Linked DNA regions of Arabidopsis thaliana. The protein of the gene in region 3 interacts with the protein of the main gene of each other region in a pairwise test. Each region holds a gene or a part of one and is shown on either strand. Other genes may lie near its edges. The genes, in order: TGA10, TIP and TAC1.

What was found.
Region 1: the proteins of TAC1 (region 3) and TGA10 interact in a two-hybrid assay, tested with the Arabidopsis thaliana proteins (one large-scale study listed by BioGRID).
Region 2: the proteins of TAC1 (region 3) and TIP interact in a two-hybrid assay, tested with the Arabidopsis thaliana proteins (one large-scale study listed by BioGRID).

What each region holds. Positions count from the first base shown.
Region 1 is NC_003076.8:2,117,521-2,128,057, reverse strand, and holds TGA10 (bZIP transcription factor family protein), read right to left. Parts: upstream 7,587-10,537; 5' UTR 7,148-7,586; coding exon 7,074-7,147; intron 6,990-7,073; coding exon 6,868-6,989; intron 6,497-6,867; coding exon 6,405-6,496; intron 6,199-6,404; coding exon 6,070-6,198; intron 5,946-6,069; coding exon 5,880-5,945; intron 5,772-5,879; coding exon 5,712-5,771; intron 5,625-5,711; coding exon 5,547-5,624; intron 5,456-5,546; coding exon 5,374-5,455; intron 5,284-5,373; coding exon of another isoform or gene 5,281-5,283; coding exon 5,009-5,280; intron 3,865-5,008; coding exon 3,610-3,864; intron 1,994-3,609; coding exon 1,841-1,993; 3' UTR 1,601-1,840; downstream 1-1,600. Other genes in the region: FTIP1 (C2 calcium/lipid-binding plant phosphoribosyltransferase family protein), read left to right, coding at 1-858; AT5G06830 (uncharacterized protein), read left to right, coding at 8,499-8,559, 8,704-8,838, 9,108-9,202, 9,275-9,369, 9,461-9,596, 9,677-9,826, 9,921-10,424, 10,505-10,537. UniProt on the Arabidopsis thaliana protein: Together with TGA9, basic leucine-zipper transcription factor required for anther development, probably via the activation of SPL expression in anthers and via the regulation of genes with functions in early and middle tapetal development.
Region 2 is NC_003076.8:8,414,042-8,421,874, reverse strand, and holds TIP (TCV-interacting protein), read left to right. Parts: upstream 1-2,798; 5' UTR 2,799-3,151; coding exon 3,152-3,329; intron 3,330-3,521; coding exon 3,522-3,802; intron 3,803-3,894; coding exon 3,895-4,152; intron 4,153-4,237; coding exon 4,238-4,696; intron 4,697-4,775; coding exon 4,776-4,955; 3' UTR 4,956-5,500; downstream 5,501-7,833. Other genes in the region: AT5G24600 (TRP-like ion channel protein (Protein of unknown function, DUF599)), read left to right, coding at 1-85.
Region 3 is NC_003074.8:2,851,798-2,857,815, forward strand, and holds TAC1 (telomerase activator1), read left to right. Parts: upstream 1-4,239; 5' UTR 4,240-4,343; coding exon 4,344-4,862; 3' UTR 4,863-5,100; downstream 5,101-6,018. UniProt on the Arabidopsis thaliana protein: Activation factor which mediates telomerase activity and potentiates responses to auxin through the regulation of BT2. Binds in vitro to the DNA sequence 5'-GACAGTGTTAC-3' of the BT2 promoter.

The DNA.
Region 1 (10,537 bases), on a different chromosome or scaffold from region 3:
TTAGCTGTGAGATTCACTTGTCTATCCTTGGCTCACATGATCTATCTTTATGGCCATCCTCTGCTTCCAAAGATGCATTATCTCCATCCATTCACTGTGAACCAATTAGACAGTCTAAGATACCAAGCAATGAGCATTGTCGCAGCACGGTTATCTCGAGCAGAGCCTCCTTTAAGGAAAGAGAACGTAGAGTACATGCTTGATGTTGATTCACACATGTGGAGCATGAGAAGGAGCAAAGCTAACTTCTTCAGGATAGTGTCTGTGTTTGCAGGCTTGATTGCTATGAGTAAATGGCTCGGAGACGTCTGCTACTGGAAGAATCCGTTGACGACGATATTATTCCACGTTCTCTTCTTTATATTGATTTGTTATCCGGAGCTGATACTCCCAACCACATTCCTCTACATGTTCTTGATAGGGCTTTGGAATTTCCGGTTCAGGCCGCGTCATCCTGCTCATATGGACACAAAGGTATCTTGGGCTGAAGCGGCTAGCCCTGATGAGCTAGATGAGGAATTTGATACTTTCCCAACTTCAAAGGGACAAGATGTTGTGAAGATGAGGTATGATAGGTTAAGAAGCGTTGCGGGTCGGATCCAGATGGTTGTTGGAGACATTGCAACGCAAGGAGAGAGGTTTCAGGCTTTGTTGAGTTGGAGAGATCCGCGTGCGACTTGCTTGTTTGTGATTTTTTGTCTTGTTGCTGCGATGATTTTGTACGTGACGCCTTTCAAGATCATAGCTCTTGCGGGTGGGATGTTCTGGATGAGGCATCCTAAGTTCAGAAGCAAGATGCCTTCTGCTCCAAGTAACTTCTTCAGGAAATTACCTTCAAAAGCAGATTGTATGCTTTGAATTGTAAAACTTCTTTGTGGCTTTTAGGTCTTCTCTGCTCGTAACTTGTGTTTCTTGTGTTCGTGTGTTTATCTGCTCTGTTTTATTATTTTGTTCTGTTTGCTTCTATTCTTATCATGTACTGTGTTGTTGGGTTTACTCTAAAACCCAAAAGTAGTGGGCTTTAGTTATAATGTTTTGTTTGTACGTTTTTTCCTTCTCTTAAAAAGAAATAAAATTCAATAGAAAACTTTAGGGCCCAAAAATTTACGGCCCAAACGAATTTGTAGTCCAAGAATAAACACATGTATAATCTGATTGCTAGTGTATGTACTTAGAAACTATTTTTTTTCAAATATTTGCGGCTAAATCAATCTCGTTTTTTGTGATGTAAAAAGATTTTTGTTGTTTTGATTTGACCATGCATGTGTACTACTGTAATGTTCACTTTTATCAGTCAAGAAATAAAAATAGAAGAGTTGAAAAAAATTAACTGGTGACAGCAAAGAAATGAAAAGTAAAGGAGAGAGAGAAGGGCGTTGAACCCAAAGCAAAACGGTACTGATCCCAAGTCCCTGACGGTATCCTACAGAACTCACCATTTGTCACCTTCCTCACTGGTCAATGCTTTAATTTGACCTAACAAGTGATAAGTCTTGCATGCAACTGCAATTGTTGCCAGCCTTCTATTTTTGTTTCCTTTCAATACTCTCTCATGTTCTTGTGTTTGGAATTGAAGATCAAGTATAATTTTTCACTTGAATTTGCATAAGGAAGAATTCATTAAAAGGTATGGAATACTTGTCTATATATATAATCTGCATCTTGATTAAAAACATAATAGTAAGAATCATATAACAAAAAGAAGCCAAACAATTTTCCCTAATTGCACTGTATTTGAGTAGAGAGACGATATATATGATAAAGAGGTCAAGCTGGCGGCTAACTAATCAACCTATTCTCTTGTTTTTGTTTTTGGTTTCCTTCATCAGTTGTTTTAGTATTATCCATCTTGCCGAGGACGGGCTAGCCAGAGAGAACTTAGAGCTTGAAGACGGTGGAAGTACTCCGCAACGGCTAGAAGACACCGTGCTTCTTGACGGGTCGTCAACAATTGGTTCAGCCTATGGATCGTTTGGTGCCTCAAATTATCCGCCTGTAAGTTTCTAATGTATTAGCTAGTTCAAAACTAAATAAGAGTTATAGGGAAAATGGAGAAATAGTAAAAGCAAAACAAAAGATGGACAAAGTAGTGCACATGTTATTGACTAAGACCAATTAAGGACAAATAATCGAATTGGACCATCATTAATCTCATAAATATAAGTATTAAAGACTAACTAGAGAGGAAAAAAACAGATAAAGGACTAATTAAGCATTATAATGATTGTGCATGACCCGAAATTATGTGGTTGATTGACGACTAATGCCGATTATTCAACATGTTGATCGATCAAAAAATCAAAGCTTGTTAGTAATTCACTAATAAGAACACGACACCAACATGTCAAAAAGGTGAAACCGTGAATTCCATACCCTCGGTCCCACGCCATGCTTCATGATACTTTTGATCATTAATTAGAATCATACATATATAATCAACCTATTATCAATGATATAAAAGTAGACAAAAAAATGCAGAATCAAATGTAAGTAAAGGAATTATTCTCAAGGAAGTGTTTTCGGAGGATGGGATACTTGGGCAGTTACGTCCATGACATCATGCAACGATATGGGCTCCAAGCATTCCATGTTTTTATTTGATGTGATATATTATAGATACATAATATATGTATTTTTCTTTTGGACTACATATATTGGAATATGTATACTTAATACATACTTTCATGGTGCCAATTGTCACGTGCGTTTAGAGAAAATTGAATTCATTACCCCTTTTTAGTAACTAACCCCACATTTACCACCTATTTTAAAGTTGGATCTTTCTCCAAATTGTGAGCGACTAACCGTGTAGCGAAACACAAAAACTTTTTTTATAGGCGGAACAGGAACAATTTAGAACTAATTATATTAAGAAATCATTGAAAGATGCCAACTTGTATATGCATGTATCTTGTATAGAATTAATTAGCCGAAATGTCCATTTGCATATAGAGTATAGACTTATACATTAATATACACAAGCAGATATATATATTTCTTTGTTTCAAAAACTTGCCTGTCCTAAACTAGTAAATGATTAAGAAATAAATATTAAATTAATAAACTTGGTCGTCTAAGAAAAGCAACCCGACCAAGTTGATATAAGACAAGAGAAGTGTTTGTTAGATACCTACTTGCATAATGTCCGAATCAAGAGGCAAATACTTTCCATTTCATATACATATACATGTTAATGCATAATTATTAAGTTTGCGAATTAGTTTTGACATCTTCTTTAAAATCAACCACTTTTATTCTATATACACTTAATATATTACAAATGTCCTCTAACAAATTATGGCCGACGTTATACCTATATATGAGTTGTACACAAAACAGACACACACATATATACAAACATCTATATAAATTTAGATAGCGTGTTATAACAGCCAAATATAGAAATATATAAGTATATGATAGTTGAGTTTAATAAGGAGTAGTTCAAAGAAACAGAATATGTATTCCTAGTCTGATTAGGACCACATATATCCTCTAGGGGTCCACTTGTATATCAACTCTATAGGTATATTTTTATATAAAGATAAAAGATTGGTATATTGATATATAATTGCACATAAACTTAAAAAGAAAGAGTTATAAGGGTACCTGGAGAACGAAGCCCTCGAGAGCAGAGAGCTTGTTGAGAGCTAAGGACATGTGTGACATGAAATTGGATAGATGAGGAGGAAGTGGTGCGGAGGCAGGCGGGAGGGAGTCAGAGACAATGCTATCGGAAAGTGATTGATTCAACGCCTCGAGGCCTTGCGAGAGAGCCTCCTCGGCCTCTTGTGTGGACTGTTGCAGCCCACATATCCCAACTATCTGTTGCTCCGTCAATGGTTCTATCTGGTTCACAATCACCTGCATGCATGCGTTTCTAATTAATACACACAAGTTGAGATATCGAGGATTAATTAACAATGGTCTTAATGGATGCATAAAGAACGTTGAATGCATTAAAGTGTGTAGTGTATGTACTCTGCACGAGTTACTAGCTACACCCAAAATCTCTTCTTTCCTTTTTATTTTCACTAAAAAGGATATAAGATTGAGACATTGCCAAAGGTCTTGTCAGATATGCACACCATCCATATATTAATTTGTATTATTAATCGGCTATCGTAGGTACTCATATTGTTTAGAATAAAAAGTAGGTTTAATTAAAATGGCTTTACGTAACCATTTTAGAAAAGAAAAAAAATGATAATCATCCAATTGACGAGCGTGCTAAAAATGTTAAACAATTATTTATTTTTGGTTTGTTTATTATGGTCGTCTCTGTTGAATTCCATGGTGGTTTATGTCTATCTCTCTCTCCTATGGATCCCATAAATCGAAAAAACAGACAGGCACTTTCTTTTGCATTATGCCAAAACCTACCTATTTCTAGAGATACTTCACCATCACACACAATTGCATGCATTCTTAATTTGTTTTCAAAATAATTTTACGTGTACCTTTATTATTGTCGTAATATAAAGACATTCACGTATATATGTTGGTTTTATACATCTAGAGTCACCCCATGCAATGTTATGTATATATATACCTCGTCCAACAATATCACTATATAGTCTATCTCTTGTCTGTCTTATCTATTATTACTATATCGTACCTCTTTTACGAGAATCAAAGACTAAATTAAAAAAAAAAATCTAAATAATAAAATAAAGTTGGAAGTACTATATTCTGTGGACATATATGTACGATATAAATAATAACAATGTCACAATTTCAGTCATTATTAGTATATGTTCTGCAAGTAATCCACAAAATTGATGGTATTAATGATTGTATCCTGGAATATTTTAGGTTCTAAGATAAAATTTAAAATGATTAGTCTTCAAGTAAAATTCCAAAATTTAGATTTATTAATCCATATTTGATTAGTTTACAATATCATCATGACTAATTATTGTGTGGGATGTGGCTCGAATAGAATAAGTAAATATCTCTCGAAAAACCTAAATATATGTATATGGCTATAAGAAAAGACGAGATGTACCTTAATGATCTCCGATGGACGGAAACCACCCATCCACAAGAAGCAACGTTCAGCTGGAGTTTTCCATGCTCCAGAAATGAGGTGGAAGACATCGGTCTTAGCGACCATAGCCTTGAGGTTAATCAAATGGTCATAATGAGCTAAACATGTGTCCACAAACATCCTAAGCTCGTTCTCGGACAAGTGTTCTTGTGTTGCCACCCTTAGTTCGTTTAATAGCCTCTGCTGCTCCTCCAGCCACCTCGCATATTCCATATCGAACACCGCTGCTTCTGCTTCACATTGCATTTACTCAATATCTCATTCTCTCGGTTTTCAAATTTTACGGTTTTTGAGTCATCACATTTATGAAACTATTAACGTACCAGAGCTGATGTTGCCAGGGCCAATGGGTAGTCCACCTTGCTGTTGATCTCCTCCTATAAGAGACCCTCCAAAGAATACGCCCTAAACATATATAGGAAATCAAATTAAATTGGTACATTTTAGACTTTAGGTTAAATACAATATATATGAAAAGACAGGTTCAAATATTTACTTGGGATCTGGCCCGTTGAATCTCTTGTTCTAGTTGGGTCAGTTTGATCCTACATGACTCGAGTTGCTGAACATAAGCCTGTCGTAATTTACCAAAGCAAATAACGTTATAAATAAATTTGGATATAAAAACTATATTTGCAACTTACAAATATTGAATGCTGACCTTTTTACGTAATCTGCTTTTTCTTGCTGCTTCTCTGTTTTGTGCTAGTCTTCTCAATGTCTGTTGAGAATTAAATTAATAAAGAAACTATCAAAAACCGAAAAGTAAAAAAAAAAAAAAAAAAAAGAATCTTATTAATTTTCTGCAGTTGTATGAATATACACTCACTTTAGGGTCTGACGATTTAGGTATGTCATGGTCCGATGAGGCAAGACCCTTGCGGTTCCCTTCCTTCTGCCATAACATTTAGATATGACCCATTAACTTCTAAAAACAACCACAACAAGTCTATATCTATACTCGAGTTATAGTTCGACAAAGCAATTAAATGATTAAAAAAACATAAATGGATAGAGACCTTGATGGATTTAGAACCTTGAGGAGGTTGATGAAACTGAGAATGATTGGTCAAGTCCATGGACGGGTCAGAAGCTGGTCGAGTGGAACCACTAGGTTGAGCAGCCGGAACTAATCTTGTATTATCGGTCTTACCAAACACATTATATAAAACAACCAAAAAACAATCAAATCACTACTCAATAGAAAAATAAGAAACGTATAATAATTGGTCTGACTTGATATTATATGAAATGGCTAGTAGTTGCGCTGACATTATATTAAATTAGAAACAGAAACCAACTAAAATTGGCATATATATATAGAAATTTATAAAGTAATAGTAATAATTATTACATTGTGTGTAGAAGAAGGAGGTGGCTCTATGTGCATAGGCTGAGATGGAAAGATGTTGAGCGTCGATGTTGGAGGTCTCATCGCCAAATTCTCTGCCATAAGATGAGTCATGTGACCATATGTATGAGAAATGGTCTAGTTATAACAAGTCATGTATATAAATATGTGAGCGGACTAGTTCTTCTAATTAGAAGAAAAAGGACAGAGAGAGAAAAGGGTTTAAAGAAGTGTAAGATATATGGATTTGAAAGATTTGGTGTCTGAAAAGAGAGAGGATCTGGTCAAAGCTGAAAGAATAGAGTACTGATGGCAGAAGAAAGATTGAAATCTGTTTGGCATGCTTTTGCTGTGACTCTCTCTCTCTCTCACACACCTAAAGGGAATCTTCCTTATCTGCTGAAACCAAAAAAACAAACCCCAATTCCCAAAAAAGAAAGAAAAGAGAGAGAGAGAGAGTGCATACGAGTTGTGTGATGATGATGTAAAGGAGAAGGAGCAGTTGATGGAGGATCATGATGTCCTTGTCCATCAAGATAGAGGAAGAGTGATGGGTCTATCTCTCCAATATCATACCCATCTTTGTTCCTGCACACATAAATTAAAGCTCTCTTATTAAAAACATGGGGATCATCAATCAATTCAAAAAGTTATTAAGTGAGTAAAAATTACATGAAGTTTCCATGGGAAGACGTGGCGGAGGATGATGATAAGTGTTGATGATGATTCTGGTGATGACCTTGCATTTGATGATGATGAAGAGAAGTCTATATATAGGATGATGTTTGAGAGAGCGTGTGATATGATAGTAACAGCAGAAGATGATGAAGAGAGATAGATTTTGATCTTCGATCTCTCTTATGTTGGTCTTCTCCTCTGAGGCAAGCTGATGATATATGATGATGATGACGGTGCTTTGATCACTAGCTAGAGAGATGATGATATACCTTCTTTTAATTCTTGTATATTATTTTCCTTTCTCTATATTCTTGGAAAGAGATAGAGATTATGTAACGGAGCATTTAAAGCTCCTTTGGTGTTTTTTTCAGAAGAGAGAAGAGAGGTCGGTTATATTGAAGTGGAGAGGGTTCAAAAACTTAAGAAGGATATTGGAGAGAAAAATAGAGATTGGAGAGAAGAACCTAAAGACAAACTCCTTTTTATTTTCTGATATTTTTGTTGTATAAGTTTCTTCTACCTTAAAATATTAGAAGACGACTTTGTTTTTATTTTTGTATGAAACCAAGAAAAATATTCTGATAAAGCGGTCAAGAACATGTCCTTTTCCATCCCCTCTCTCTTCTTCTTCCTTCTCTCTAGTCACATTGCTGATAACAAACTTGTATAAATATTTTTTGTTTGTTCTCTAAATTATTATTATTATATTTCTCCTATATATATTATTCAGCTATTAGATTTTTACTTTAAGATATACTTTTCAATTCCATCATCTATATTATTATTATAAGATTTTTTATTCGATTTTTAATGATCCATTAACCGCTCTTACATTCAATCTATAAACACTAGACATTATATGAAACAAGTTAAAAGTCATTATTATGTGATTTATGAACTTAGATTGTCAAATATATTGATTGAATTTTGTTTGTATCTCTAACTGTTCCATTGTACTTTGTTTGAATGGGCACTAATATGGTCTAGGTTTTGTTTTTGTTAAGCTAATTGGTTTGATCAAATTGAGCTGGTAAACTAATTTTGATTTCTTTCCCATCATTCACAAAATATTCATACAAATAATTTCCTCAAAATAGTTTTAACTTGTAAAGAAAAAAAAGTTTAAAATCTGTAGACTAATCCGTAAAGGTAAAACCGACGTTACTAGATAGACCAGTTTATGTTAACCGCGGTAATGGACCATCCAACCAACCCATATAAAACCAATAAACAATTTAATCTGCCGCGGACCGGAGTAAATTGGTTCGGTTAGTTCAATAACCGGATTCGAGATATTTGATGAGACCAATGAAATTATGCGTTCTTCTGTAGCAAACTCTTGAGACTCCAAAACGTTAAACTGTGTGAGACTTCGGAGATAAAATTTCCCAGAAAGCGTGAAAGGTTAACCGGAAGAAAATGCCGTCACAAGATGATGTTCAAAATCTTCCAATCGATATCACCTTCTCTCGTCTCGGAGGTAATGCAGAACTATCAATTACGAGTACACGGAATTTTAAATTTTTATATCTCTTTGGTTTTTTTTTTTCGTTTTCTTCGTTGGATTCGAATCTGCGTTGGTGATTATTGTCTTCATTTGATTTCAATTTTGTTGAATTTGAAGAATGGTTGGTGGATCGGAAGAGAATTCCGGCGGATTGGAGGAAGAGGGTTGCTGTGATCAGAGTCAAAATCTTAAAAGAGTTCTCTTCTTTGCCTAAAGAGATCGATCCATTCTTTCAAACCCTAGATCCTGAAGGTTTTAAATTCTTCAAATTTTGTTCTTTTATCAGTTTGGCGAATTTTCAAACCTTCAAAACGAATTCGTCTTAAATTGCGTTTTGGTTCACTGCTCTCATTTATAACTTAAAGTGTTAGTATTTTGTTTGAAAATGCCAAAGAGATTTTATTGGCATCTTTGTGAACACCGTAAGCTTGTTTGTTGTTTGGTTATGTCTGATGATTGATTAGGAGGAGGGCCTTACTTGGTTGTATTCTCATTCAAGTTTAATGTTGTTTTGCTTCCAGTGATCGGTTACTTGGAGGTCAAAAAGGTGTATGAGATTCTCCTGAAGACAACTCCGGAAAGCCGCAACATCTTTGGTCGACTTTCGGGTGCTTCTGTAAGGAAAACTGTCTCTCTGTTTCGCACTTTTGTTTGTGTTCATTGTCTCAGCTGTATAATGCTCTTTTAGGGTGTTTGGGAAGCAATTGTTCGTGCGTTTGAAAAAGATCACATTTATCTTGGGGAGGCAGCTCAGATAATAATTCAGAATGTTAATTACGAAATGTAAGTTGGCTTCTACTTGATTTTACCTATAGTCTCTCTACTTTGGCATTTCTGATCTCCCTAATATGTTTTCTTTTTGCAAAACATGAAGCCCTTATCTGAAAAAGCAAGTGCAAAAGGTTCAGCAACAAATGACAGAACTTGATCGTAAAGAAGCTGATATCAAAAGGAGCGTTGCACTCTCAGCAACAAAATACGAGGATGCTTGCCGAGAGCTTGGATTGCAGGTTTACTTGTAAACTTGGTTGATTTTCATCTATATGTTTTTTAAAAGGATCATATAAAGTTTAAACATTTAAGATATCAGGGAAACAATGTGAGGCGTGAGCTTTTGGAGACTGCGAGTTCGCTTCCTAGTACCTTTAGCAAGATTCTGGAAGTTATCAACAGTGACTCAGTAACAGGGGCAATGGAGTACTACTCTGCCTATGTTCAAGATGTTCATACTGAGAAAGATGTAAGATCACTGTTTAACTTCAATCTCTTTCTCTTTAAAATTTTGGTCCTTGTTTCCTGGAGATTGAATTGACCGGCTTCTGATCTGTCTGCAGAAGCCTTTGAGGATTGTCTTACAAAACCTGAAATACATTCGTGAAAACCCTCCATCATTAAGCGTTTTTGGGGACTCTGAAGGTCTCGATGCTGATAATATTCAGTCATCTGAGAATGCAAATGGTACAGATGCGGCTGCAGACAGCATTGATTGGGATATTACGGTTGAGACTCCTGAGATAGATTGGGATGTTAGTATGGTAGAAGAAGTTGATAGTGGAAATGATCTAGGTTCATATGAAATTGTCAATGCCAGCGATATTCCTGAGAATTCTCCATTTAAAGTGGAAGAAAGCCAAGGCCTTGAGGTTGATGTTTCTGAGATTTCTTGGGATGTAAGTGTTGAAACACCTCAGGTAGAAGAAATAGGTGATTCAGCTTTGCTAGAATCAAACCAGACACAGTTGACAGATTCTACAACTCAAGTCTTAGGGAGTGGAGGAGAGAGGAGCCAGCTGTTGGAGACAGAATATAGGAATAAGATCCTTGATGATTTGTATGAGGTACTCTTATCACTAACTATCTAATTCTCAGTTTAATCCTGGATATGCTTCTTGAGTTGATGTCGTTTCTCTTGTGTCAGGTCAAGGCATTTTTGAACCAGCGTTTGATAGAA
Region 2 (7,833 bases), on a different chromosome or scaffold from region 3:
TTTAACGTTTGACTCGATGAAATGTAGCGTTGGAGCCGCAGACGCGGAGGAGCCCGAGATTAGAAGCTTAGCTCAGAATGTTTAGTAGTTTTTTTTTAATTTGATAATGGTTAGGGGTTCAGATATATTGAAGAGAGTTTTGTTCAATGGAACATACAAATCTTGTAAGTTGTATTGATTCAGGTTCAATGGTAGTTGAACCGTGTCAAAGTGTCACTCTGTAACCAAGTGAAGAAATTTGTTGTCATTTAACCGTAAAATTGTCAATTTTACTGATGTCAAAGATATATATATTTTTTTGGTAATTTTGCATATGCATATGGTATATATGGATCATATATATTCCATGTTTATTTTCAACCCTTTACTTTAAAAGTTACGAAGAATTTAGAACAAATTACAAATATGGACTTGGATCAAAAATGTTCATAAATTCTACTTCTATAGCTTTTTCTTTCCCCGTTTATAATATATGGTATTCGGAGGTAACATTTTTCTTATTTTTTCTGTCAACCACATTAATTGTTTGAGATCTCTTTAACCCTTTTGTAGTTAGGACAAATGTTAAGAATCCATAATAGTAAAACTAAATATGTATTTATTTTTGGAGCTTTTATTTTTAATCTTTTTTTAAAACACTATATATATAGTGGGTGGTTTTCTATATTTTTTTAACTAACGTTGATATAGGATTTAACCCACGATATACCGTGGGACAATTTGTGTTTCGCACAATCTTGATTCGATATGTTTAATATTGGTAGTGTAACAAAATAATAAAATGAAAAGAGCAATTGGGTAGGGTCGGATCATCATGAGATATTTAGTAATTTAACAACTTGTAGTTTTGGTGACTTCTTAAATTTTGATCAGATAGAACATAGCCACTAAGTAGGATCATGAGGAAATACATAATTTTCTAAATAAAATAAAAATAAAAAGAGAGATTTCCACATATTCAAGTTTTAATATTTTTTCTTTGTTTTTCAAATAAATTAAAACTAAACTAAAATCCACATCTAATTACCATTCAAATTTTTCAAACAACTAACATTTACACCAAAAAAAAAAATTACAAACTAAAATTCGAAAGCCAAAAACTATTTTAAAAGCTACATACATTTATGATTTTAAACAACGGAAAATAAAATATTTCCAGAAACTGAACTTTGAGATAGAAAGTAAACGTCTTTAGTAACTAAGTGATTGGTTGGCATGTCACCGTAAATTATTCGCTGTAAAATTTTGACCGTCAGCGTGTAAAATGCAACCGTGTATTTTATTGTTATACGTGTAGATATTAGGGATATAAAGTCTTAGAAGTAAATTTATTAGTCGTATCTTAAAATATGATTAGTAAATATTTTATAAAATATTATAGTTAACCAAACTATATAATAAACAACAACACAAATTTTGTGATGCACATATAGGTTAAATGGAATCTATATAAACATGTAAAATAGTTTATATGTTAGTCGGATAATAACTACATATTAGTTGAAAAGAATATATACATATAAATTTTTTGTTCAAATGTTGTTCAAAATTTATACATAAGTATACATTAACAAACAAAACTATACATGGTATTTATACTATTAGTATATATCCATCTAGTGCCTAGTGTACATTATATAAGCAACACATAAAAAATGATCATGAGGAAATAAAATTAAAATAAAAGAGAGATTAAATTAAAAATATAACTTATAGAACTTATAACAACATATGGTTTTAGGTTGTAGAAATATAAGATTTACGGTCACAAGATTTTTTTTTTTTCTAAAACTAATTCACAACAATTTGGTCTTCACAAAAACAATTATGGTTGTAAAAGATTACATTCCAACTAATCAAACACTATAAGAGACTATCCTCAAACTAGAAACGCAGAGGTCTAAACCCAAAAACAAAACAAAAAGCAATGACTTAGATAAACTTTGTTGGATATGGGCTTCGCCCCATTTAACATTCGGAGGCCCAAACAAAGAGTCATTGAAAACCTCAGTTAAGAATGATGAAGACCAGCCCCCCTGAGAAAGCCGCAGCCCATTGCGAGATGAGGCCCATTTTCTGGAAAGGATCAGCCGCCATAGAAGTTTCATATCGCTCAGAAAATGGTACTGTGTACTTTCATTGAAGTACTATAAATATTGACAGAGGAATGCCAGAAAAGGACACCTGAAGTCGGACGAGAATAGTACAAGAACATTCTCATTCGGATTCAAAGACATAAGCTCGACAATTGACTTGTGTAGTTTTATTCTTGTTGTATCTCTTAAAACGAGGCTTGGCTGTAAACATATCTTGTAAACGGCCGAACGTTAAGTTTAGATAAATAAGATCTTCCTTTTCGCTCGCTACTTTCTTCTCTGTTTTTGAGGTTTAGTTTTGAGTACCAACGGACTTCGATATCAAACGTTTTAAAGTTTAAACCTATTTGATTTACATTATTTGGTTTAAATAAATTGATTCAGACTTCACACGACCAAGAAAAAAAAATGGTTGAATTGGGTTCTCATCTATTGGGCTTTAACAACAAACACTATTAGTAAGATGGGCTGGCCAGTTGTGTAAACTGTTTCATATTGGTAAATCAATATGATACCAATTAAGTTTATTTAATTCTTCTTTAACTTCCGTACAACTATCACGAAGCTTCCTTTATAGCATCAACGTGTCAATATATGATTCGCTAGGTGACATCTCTCGTTCAGACATCCTCACCTTTTGACTCATATAACCCCTATTTCCGTAACTATTTTACTGCAATACTTCAGGGGTAAAATAGGTATTTACATTCTGTTTTGCCTTTTACGCGTAACGAACGTGGTTTTGTGTTTTATGACTTTCTGGGAAACAGTGGTACGCCTATCCACGCGCCACTTTTTCATCTCTTTGTCTTTGATATCTCTCTTGTCTGACCAAATCGTGTCACATCTCCTTCTTCTCCACTTTACCAAATCGTGTCAAATTTTAGGGTTTTTTCTTTTCGTACTTCATCAAATTCTGGAATCTGGTTTTTTCTTAGTTTTCTTCTATATACCTTTGAATCGCATCTTTGATCCAAATTCATTTTAGATATCACCTTGAAGTCGAATTTGTGATTTTTTCTTTTCCTCTCGAATTCTCAAAGTCTCACGCAACTATGAAAGAAGACATGGAAGTACTATCGCTCGCTTCACTACCGGTTGGGTTCAGATTTAGTCCAACGGACGAAGAGTTAGTCCGGTACTATCTCCGGCTCAAGATCAACGGTCACGATAACGACGTTAGAGTAATTCGTGAGATCGATATCTGCAAATGGGAGCCTTGGGATTTGCCTGGTAATTCCTTTCTTCATCAAATCAATTCGTTGATTCATCTTTAGCTCTTTAGTCTCGGTTTAGCAATTCCCAGGCTTCAATTCCGGTTTATGCATGTTTGAATTTGGAACAATATGATCAATAACTTCTTAGCTTAGGTAGTGGACTTAGTGAATTTGAGTAAAGATTTATACTTTAGTATTTGTGGTGTAGATTTTTCTGTGGTGAAGACAACAGACTCAGAGTGGCTCTTCTTTTGTCCTTTGGACCGGAAATATCCGAGTGGAAGTCGAATGAATAGAGCTACTGTGGCTGGATACTGGAAGGCGACGGGAAAAGACCGTAAGATCAAATCAGGAAAGACTAAGATTATAGGTGTTAAGAGGACTCTAGTGTTTTATACAGGTCGTGCTCCTAAAGGGACACGAACTTGTTGGATTATGCATGAGTATCGTGCTACTGAGAAGGATCTTGATGGAACAAAGTCTGGCCAGGTAAAAACCAACTTGGCAAATGATGGCATTAACTTGTGTGTGTAGGTCTTTTGTGTTTCTGATTGTGTTTGTTTGATTGTTTTTGGTTGCAGAATCCGTTTGTTGTTTGTAAGTTGTTTAAGAAGCAAGATATTGTGAACGGAGCTGCTGAACCAGAAGAGTCAAAGTCATGTGAAGTTGAACCAGCGGTATCGTCTCCAACTGTTGTGGACGAGGTTGAAATGTCTGAGGTATCTCCTGTTTTCCCTAAAACAGAAGAGACTAATCCTTGTGACGTCGCAGAGTCTTCTCTTGTAATCCCCAGCGAATGTCGTAGTGGATACTCTGTCCCTGAGGTTACAACCACCGGGGTAAGGATGAACAAAATACATTCTTTTCATTACAGGAGGCGGTACAACCGCTTTGTAAACTTACAAACTTCATTTTACTCAACAGCTTGACGATATCGATTGGCTCTCGTTTATGGAGTTTGATTCCCCGAAGCTGTTCTCTCCGTTGCACTCTCAGGTGCAATCTGAGCTCGGTTCCTCTTTCAATGGCTTACAATCTGAGTCTAGTGAATTGTTCAAAAACCACAATGAGGATTACATTCAGACTCAGTACGGTACAAATGATGCGGATGAATATATGTCCAAGTTCTTGGATTCTTTTCTTGACATTCCCTATGAGCCAGAACAGATCCCATATGAGCCACAGAATCTTAGCTCATGCAACAAGATCAATGATGAATCTAAGAGAGGAATTAAGATTAGAGCTCGACGAGCACAAGCCCCGGGTTGTGCTGAGCAGTTTGTAATGCAGGGCGATGCCTCAAGAAGGCTGCGTCTTCAGGTTAACCTTAACAGCCACAAGTCAGAAACTGACAGTACACAACTTCAATTTATCAAGAAAGAGGTGAGAAGAAGTTTGTTTTCATACCTTCTCATGTATTACAATTTATGATCCTTATATTTATGCGATAAAATGTATATAGGTTAAGGACACAACAACGGAAACTATGACGAAAGGATGTGGAAATTTCACAAGATCAAAGAGCAGGACTAGTTTCATATTCAAGAAAATTGCAGCCATGGGATGTTCATACAGAGGGCTTTTCAGAGTCGGTGTGGTAGCGGTTGTGTGTGTGATGTCGGTCTGCAGTCTAGTCGCATAAATCCGCTGAATGTGATGTTTGTTCCGATCAATTCATATAGTAAGAATAAAGAAAGTGGTTTTTACGGGTGGAGAGAGCGCGGATTTGTGTGTATAACAGGGGTTTTGGCCTGGTTCTGCATCTGTTGTTATTGTTGTTGTTTTTGTCGGCTTAAGCTTAACCATGGTCGGTTTAGGAGTGTAGTAGACTTGTAGTTAACATGTACGACGACTCATAATATTCAGATGGTAATGTTTGGAAATTTTTTTATTCCTGACCACATGTGTCTTGAGATTGCGTTTTTGACATTTTTAGTAGCCTTGTACAATCAGAAACAAACTACGAGTTCGAATGGTAGCACCGTAATGAAAACGGTGTCAAACATGTTAGTACGAACCGACCGGGTAGAGATATTTATTAGAGGTGTGTTTATTTCGTATATCATTAAACATGTTTAGTATGATAGGACGGTTTGATTGAGGGTATGGACTGTTAAACATGTCATTTGGGTATTTTATGGCATTAAGTATGCCCAGTAATATATTACAAAATTTTTGGACAAAAGAATGCATATTTGAATAGTTCAAATAATATGATCACCTCTCTTTTCTCTCCTTCATATCTTTTAGAGAGAGGAACTGTTGAATTCTGCCGACCGGATTATTCTGGTAAACTGCCGTCCCAAGTTTTGGGCTTTTGCCCGACATCTTTTTGGCTTTGTTAGCAAAGATGGCCGGTCCTCTTCTGGCAAATCCGGCTTCTACAAGAATAATTGTATCCTTACTACTTAATTGTATGGACCAAGAATAAAATTTCAAAATTTAGTTGTTTTCTTGATATCTGTAAAAAAAATTAAACAACACTTACAATAAGACATAGGAAGCAGTTTGTATCAATATTACTGTCGTGTTGCTTTGGAATAAAACCCAAAATACGTAAGTACCAAAACAATTATTAGACTTTTTAAATGTGTTAGCTGATATAAGTAGTATATATCAATGTTGTATCATACTTTGAATAAAACTCAAAATTATGTGTGAGTAAGAAAAGAAAATACAATTCTTTCCAATATATAAAAACATCGTAAATGCATAAAATATGTGCATTCGAATCTTAACGCCATTGCAGTTGGACTCATGTCTCCACATGCGATGCACCGAACACCAACTAACTTTATCTCAACTATTTTTAGAATTCACGTATCATGTTCTTTAATCAATTTAATATTTCGATTATAAATTTATAATGACCAAAGAAGGTGATGCACACTTTTAAAGCGTAAATATACAATAGTGGATATGAATGACTCGATGCTTGATCATTAACATGGCACATTACATAAAACAAAAGTCTATAAATTTCTTTTAAGTTTTATTAAAAACGGATGACAAGAAAAGAGAGTCTATAAACTTATTTTAGCAGAGAAACTAATTCGGTTGTGGCATAGAGTTATTTTTTTATATGGTTTAGTCAATATGGCTTTTTGTATTTTTGACTTTTTGGATATACTTTTGAATCAGATTAAAGTCGCATATTGCCGGTTGGTATAAAAGGAACTTCATGTTAATTCCAGAACGATCTGAAAAATCTTCCATAAATCAATTTTATTTAACAAATGCAAAAACCATTAGTACGTAAAATTAACCTATAAAAAACCAGAGGTTATTTATTGTCTTGATTTTTGATCTGCGATAACATCTGCTGAGTTTTGAGTTATACAAACCACTCAAGTCTCAACATTGAGATTTTTTCAGGTCCATTTGGATAAAACAATAGTTGAAACCCATAAAGATAGTGCGCGTCAAAAGTAAATTATACATTGAGACTCAAACTGTGAAAACGATCGGATACAAATTACATGTCAATTATTATTACTTAAAGTTCATTTTATAGCAGGTATACCAAAAAGTTAAGTCCAAATTCGCAGTTTTAGAGGAATTTTTTACTACAAGTAAAGTGATAATATCATCAGTTTTACCAAACGATGGAGACCAATTTTAGTTTGTAGCATAATATAGAAAGTATAAACTAATTTAGAGATGGACACAAGGTAAAATACAAGTGATTCATTTTTCAGCTGTTGTGTATGAAAAATTGTTTTATATGTTACTTTTATTCGTTCGAAACGGATATTCAACATTTTACATTAAAAAAAATTTCGTTGCAGGTTATTATGAAAAAAATACATTTCTATTGTACCGTTTTAATATTTTTATAACAAACACTAAAAATATCATTTACCTCTGTAACAAAAAAAAAATCATTTGCCTGAAAAATTCTTCAATTTCATTACCTAATCCACTCCAAACAATTACATAGTAAAAATGAGATTTTTGTTATTTACGAATACTTTCATTCTTATAAGCAATACAGTGGATATACTAAATTTAAAATTTTGTAACTCTTTAAGACTTATTAAAAATTATTGCCAAACTCACCAAGAAATATGGAAATAAATGTACTTTTTTGTTAAATCATATTTGGATAAAAGATGGACTCATAGATACGCACAAAAATGTATACATTCAGCATATTGTGTAAGCTGAGTCAGCTCCAGGTGTTTGGGCACATGTAAACATGGACCCGACCTTTTTACCTCTTTTTCTGTTATAAGTTTTTAAAATAAAATTAGATTACTTCACAAAGACTATAAAAAGGATTATAATTCCAAAAACAAAACAAAATTATAAAAGTAAAAAAGATATAGTTAACTAGAAAGTTACCAAACATGGATTATAAACCGGTCAACTACGTACATTAAGAATCTGAGTGAATTCTCTGAACACTTTCATCTATCATTTTCTTATAGCTAATTTTGTCTTAGTGGCGAACCGTAAATGCCTCTAAAGGTTCACTTTAATTTCTAAATAGTTCTTCCAACTATCGAGCTTATTTGTTT
Region 3 (6,018 bases):
TGAAAATTTAAAATTTACACTATGAATTATATAAACTAACATAGAAATCGGATTAATATTATTAGATAGTTCTTATAGAAGAATACAATCAACATGATTTTTAAAATGACTTGAATGTACAACCAATTGAACCAATAGATCTATCTATATCTCAGTTTCCAAATGGCGACACATGTGTTATCGCTTTTCGCCTAAAACTATTTTGCTAAATTAAACACTTATATTTTAGAAGCTGAAACACAGAAATTTAGGGATTTTTGAGGAGTCTAAATGACTAAATTGAAACTGATGATTTTTTAAGTTGGAAACCAGAGTAGATCCCTAGCTACTATTAGATTAAACATAGTAAAGTTTCTTATATAAGTGAATCAAAGACAGCGAGATCTATGATGTGTTTATATGTAAAGTTTGTCTGAAATGTGTTTTGATTAAAGTAGGAAGTGAAGCTACTTTGTCTCGAGGCAAGGACCAAGGTGGTCGGGAAGTAGCTTCCTCTTTGTTTTGTGTTTTATTATAGTTTTCGAGATTATGGTGTTAAAAAAGAGATAGAAAATTGGTATATATGTGTTTGATCAAAAAAGAAAAATGGTATATATGTGTGTGTATGGATCGGATGTAAAAATATATGTAGTTGGGAAATATTCGATTTATAGTTAGAACTGATAAGTTTAAATTCATCAATAATTGAGATTTAGAAACTTCGCTAATTACCCATGCCAATTCTGTCAAGTCATGGGTTAATTAGACAATTTAAGTTTTGAATAAAGAGAAAATGTTTGCTTATATAATGGTACTTTTAGTTGTTTATGTGAAGAATATGTCCACATATTATATTTTTCATGTATGTGTATGGTTTGCGTTAATGGATACTACACCTCGTTTGTCTAGGTTTAAACTCCCCTATATGAAAAGTGGAGTCAAATTTCTACAAGACCGAGTCCTTTTAGAGAGTATAGGCAACATATAGTCTTTGCCAAAAGACATATTTGAGCACAAATTCGGATTAGACACGTGTGGTAGGTTAATTTGGTTTGATTTAAAAGTATCGCACAAATGTAAAGCTCTCGCCTTTTGAAGAGCCGATGAGAGCAAAACAAGCAAATCATAACCTGTATTTTCCTTTATTTCGACAAAGACAAACCTCTTTCCTCTTGTCGTTATAGAGAATTAAAGAAATAGATCATTAGTTACAGAATTTATTCTCATAACCCTTTCTCATGATTAGTCTACTATTTTTCTTTGATGCCGACAGGTAACTTTATTTTATTTACACAAAAAAAAAAAACTCACGACTAGACAGAGTTTATAGATAAATCTGAAAAATCTTAACAAAAATATATATCCAAACATTAGTTTACATATAAAAGTAAAACAAAATTTCAATAGTAACTCTAAAAATAGTCTTCTTGTGAATACTTTTATCCATTTCCTCTTTTTCTAACCAATCAAAATTTTGTTACCTAACAAAAAAAATAACGGAAATTTTCTATTGGGTTTCAAGTAAATAAGAGAAGCTGAATAAATTTTACAAAAGGAAAACAAATGTTTTTCCCTATATATGTACTAACGAACTAAATAAATCAATAATTGCGAGGAGAATAAATAATGATCCGAGGGAAGATCTCATTGGCATACAAGGCACAATAAGAATAAGCAAGGAAAGGCAGTCAAAAGAAGTCGAATATTATTTGTCTGTTAGAAAGCATAATCCTAAGTTCCCATCATTGGCTCATAGAGAACATATAATCTTTCTCCAATGATTTGATGTCTCACACTCACTAGTCACTACTTTTACTTTTCACATTTTATATGCCATTTGCTTGCGCAAAAATACACTGCGAATGAAGTGGTTGTAATTTGTGGTTTCATTAGTTTGATCGATCGACATAAAACGATTTGTAACAATAGATCCAAAACAGTTGCAAGTCGATCGATAACTAGTATGGGTTCAAGTCCATGAAATTCAATCACAGCTTTGCGGAATTCAATTGCTTAGATTTCTTGAAGAGTTTTGTTAGGAATTTCATGTCTCAACAAGAAGAAACTTAAAATAACACATAACGAATGTTAGCTAACATAAACATATTCACGTTGTAAATGCATTACGTTTTAATCTTAGAAATTCATGAATGTCTATATTCTTAAAGAATACCATAAATTTATCAGTACAGATTCGACATCCCATCAATCATTCGCATAGTTATAGCTCTAAAGATCTATCCAGTACAATCATATCAAACAAAGAAGGCTAAGACATACGAATGGACATGATAGAACATGAACAACAAAATTTTGTTTTCCACTAGAGCATATGTTCTCATAGCATTAAACCTTTCGAATAAGCATCTTCTCAATACTATTTAGCCTCACGAGGGTTATAAATTCTCACATTTCCCTACTGACTTCTCACCAAACAAAAAAAACTAGAAGAAGAACGATACATAAACTATGCTCACGCAAGAACTTGCGCGCATTATGGGGGGTGACGATGATGAGTATTGGTGAGGACCGGGTAATCTGCATCCTGAGGTTTAAAGCTTAATTTACGCAGGAAATTTGTATACGCATATACGTATGTGTATTAGTATACCTTTTAGTCCTCGGGATGCGGATTACCTCGTTCTTACTTACAATACACGTACTCGGAGACACGATTACTCATCATCTAGAGGTTGGTTTTGATCCTCCATTTCTTCTAAGTTTAAACATCATTAATAAGATATTTAAGACTGAATATCACCACACATATATAGAGTCAGTCTCATAGATGATGAATTGGTAATATTATATGACACTACTGACTTAAAATTATTATCATATAATATTACTAATTATATTAAAGTTTTTTTTCGTCAACATACACACTAGTTAAAAATTTGAATTTAGAAAAGTTCAATTGATGACTCATTTCAGGAATGCTCGAAACAATGGCAACGACGCTTGTGTATGTTTGAATTAGTGATATATCCGTTTTATTCATACTTAATTAAACTGGTAACTCTAACTAATACGCTGTATATTTACCTTTTTGTCTAGTGAATAAAAAAAAATCACGACGACCTAGTTTTATGTCTTTTATCTATTGCTCAAAGGTCGCTCATTGCCTTTGACTAATATGTTTAGACTTGTGATTTCTGCTATTCAATTAAATTAATTAACTGCGTTTATTAAATTTCAGTTAGGTGACTCATAAAAAGAAAACATAGATTAATTAAGTTATATATATAGTATAATGATGTACATACAAATTCAAAAGTACTATGGATCTTGCTTTGAAAACGAGTCAGTCAATTGATTTTGTAGATTTATTCAGTTTTCATAGATGTCCAACACTGGAATAATTGTTGATAATTTCAGGAAAAGCATATGTTAAAATAATGCTAATAACAAAAACAAAGCTAGTGATGTGTATCAAACTACCAATTGTGCAGAGACAAAAACAAAACGCCAAAATGCTGTGTTGTACCCTTTTTTGTCAACTGCGTATCTGTTTTTTTTTCAGTATAAAAAACTTAAGAAATCTCTAAACCTAATTATTGAGAGTAAAAAAAAAAACAAATAAATAATCAAATTTTACTGAAATAAATTGTAATGATCAAATATATTTAAGCATTGAATTTTTTTTGTGTAGTCCTAAAGTTGAATCTTGAAAGGCTGCTGATCTTAATTTGTCTTTTTTTTTTTGTTCGTGCAAAGCTGCTGATCTTTGTTATTGTCTCATATGTAAGTGGTTAGCATAAAATAATATTAATTTCTTGAATATGCGTTGTATATTTTGGTGACCATATACAACTACTTACATCGATCTTGTAAGAATTGCACATAGTAAAGTAAATATATCACAAATCATATGTCCGATAACTTCATCTATTTATATATTTAATGATGAAAATTGTAGTTTGATAAAAAAAATAAAAAAAATAATGATGAAAATTGTAGAAACGAAAGTATTTTAATCGTAAAATGGAAAAAATTGTTAGATTTTTATTGATCATTTTTTGGTAGTTGCTATACTGTTTATAGGTTTTATATTTAGTTGTGGAAATAATTTATAACTATAACAGAATAGATTATTCATGTAATGACATAGAAACAGTTGTTTTCACTTTTCTTGTTTTGTCTTGGTGCCGTGGTAGATTTTGATAATAAAATTAGAGTGTTGATTAATTTATATTTGCCAAAACAAAATAAACAAATAAATAATTTCAAGTTGACCAATTCATATTTCTTGATGGAAAACACTGATCTCTTCTCTTCTATTCTTTCTTTCTCTTATGAGGAATTTTCACAATCTTTGATCATCTTCTCCTTTATTCTACGGAAGAAATCTATATATTCTATATATGGAAAACATCAAAAACCCTAAAAACGCAGATGATTGTTCCGATAGCATATCAAAAAACAGTCATCAAGGCGTTGATGATTCCCTGAACCAGTCAAGATCTTACGTATGCAGTTTCTGCATAAGGGGCTTCTCGAATGCTCAAGCACTAGGAGGGCATATGAACATCCACAGAAGAGACAGGGCTAAACTCAGACAAAAGCTTATGGAAGATAATAAGGATGATGTCGTCGCCGAGAGTGATGCATCCGAAGTTGTGTCTCTAGACCTTAATGAACAACAACAACAACAAGGAGAAGCTTTGACATGTGATGATCACGATCAATATGTTGATAACGATATAAGTCCTAAACAGAAATTAGAGTTTTGGGTTCAAGAAAGCAAGCTTGATACTAATGATCATGGAAAGGTCACGGAGGCTAGCATAGATGGTTCGAGTTCGAGTCATCATCGTGATATTGAAGTATTGGATCTCGAGCTTCGGTTAGGCCAAAGCGTCGTAAAGAAGAAGACAACATAGTCTCTGAACGATGAATCATATATTGATTGCATTGTATCAATGGGAAAATCCCTATGAAACACCAAACTCTCTAATCCGTCTATTACAAATGGATTCGTGGCTCAAATTGTATTGTAAGGTATGCATTTGTATCTTATTGCTACCATTATCGTTGTTGTACCTTGTATTGATATTTGTTTCCTTGCTTGGGTTAATTTCACCAACAACTTTTGTAAATGACATACACGTCCAAACAAACAAACATATATATAGAAATTATATATATTTGGTGTTTGCTTTATAGTTGTTTAGGGAAAATGAATAACTAATAAGCTTAACTTAGCTCAACATTATTGATCTGGTCATGGTAGAGACTATTCAAACTTGTTCACTGAGAAATATTGTTACAGTTGAGTTATATATTGGTAGTCGTCCTCAGATTTTCGAGTAAGCATTTGCCAATTATGACTCTTATATTCGAGATTAGCACTCAACATTTAATTATATGTTAGCAAATAGTATAACATTAGCTAGCAAACTTATAAACGATAAATTTGACCAAAACAACATAAACCAAGGTCACTTTATCTACTTTTTGTTCTCTGAATTCTGAAAACGAATTTGAATATCGTATTCTAACAGTGAATATTGCATTTATACTAAAATTTACGATCATAGCCATAAATAAGTAGTTATGTATAGTCAAACTATATGTAGTTATACAGTACTTTAAGACGTTTGAACCGCTAAGATTCCCATAATCTGCATGATAATATAATGTATGTAAACTGATACATGCACAATTGCACATGATAAATATAACTAAATTGATACATGCCGATTTGCGCATGATAATTATAATTATATGCTCTATAACATGTTAGGATTTAAAATGAAAAGAGCAAATGGTTCAAGGCTGCAACTTGGTGACGCCACCAATGATGACCTTTTACGTCTTAACCACGTTCCGGTTTGGTTCGAGAACTTGTTTGAGATCCGCTTTGGATCTAAATTCAGATTGGTTTTATTTGAGATGCCGTGGAAAATTGGATAATTTCCACCAGAGATATATGATTTAATTAATTGGATTTTGGATTCGATTATAGTAAACCGATAATAGTGAGGCAGTAACGAACAAAACAACTTCAACCGGATCATTGGGTTGGTTTAGTTTACT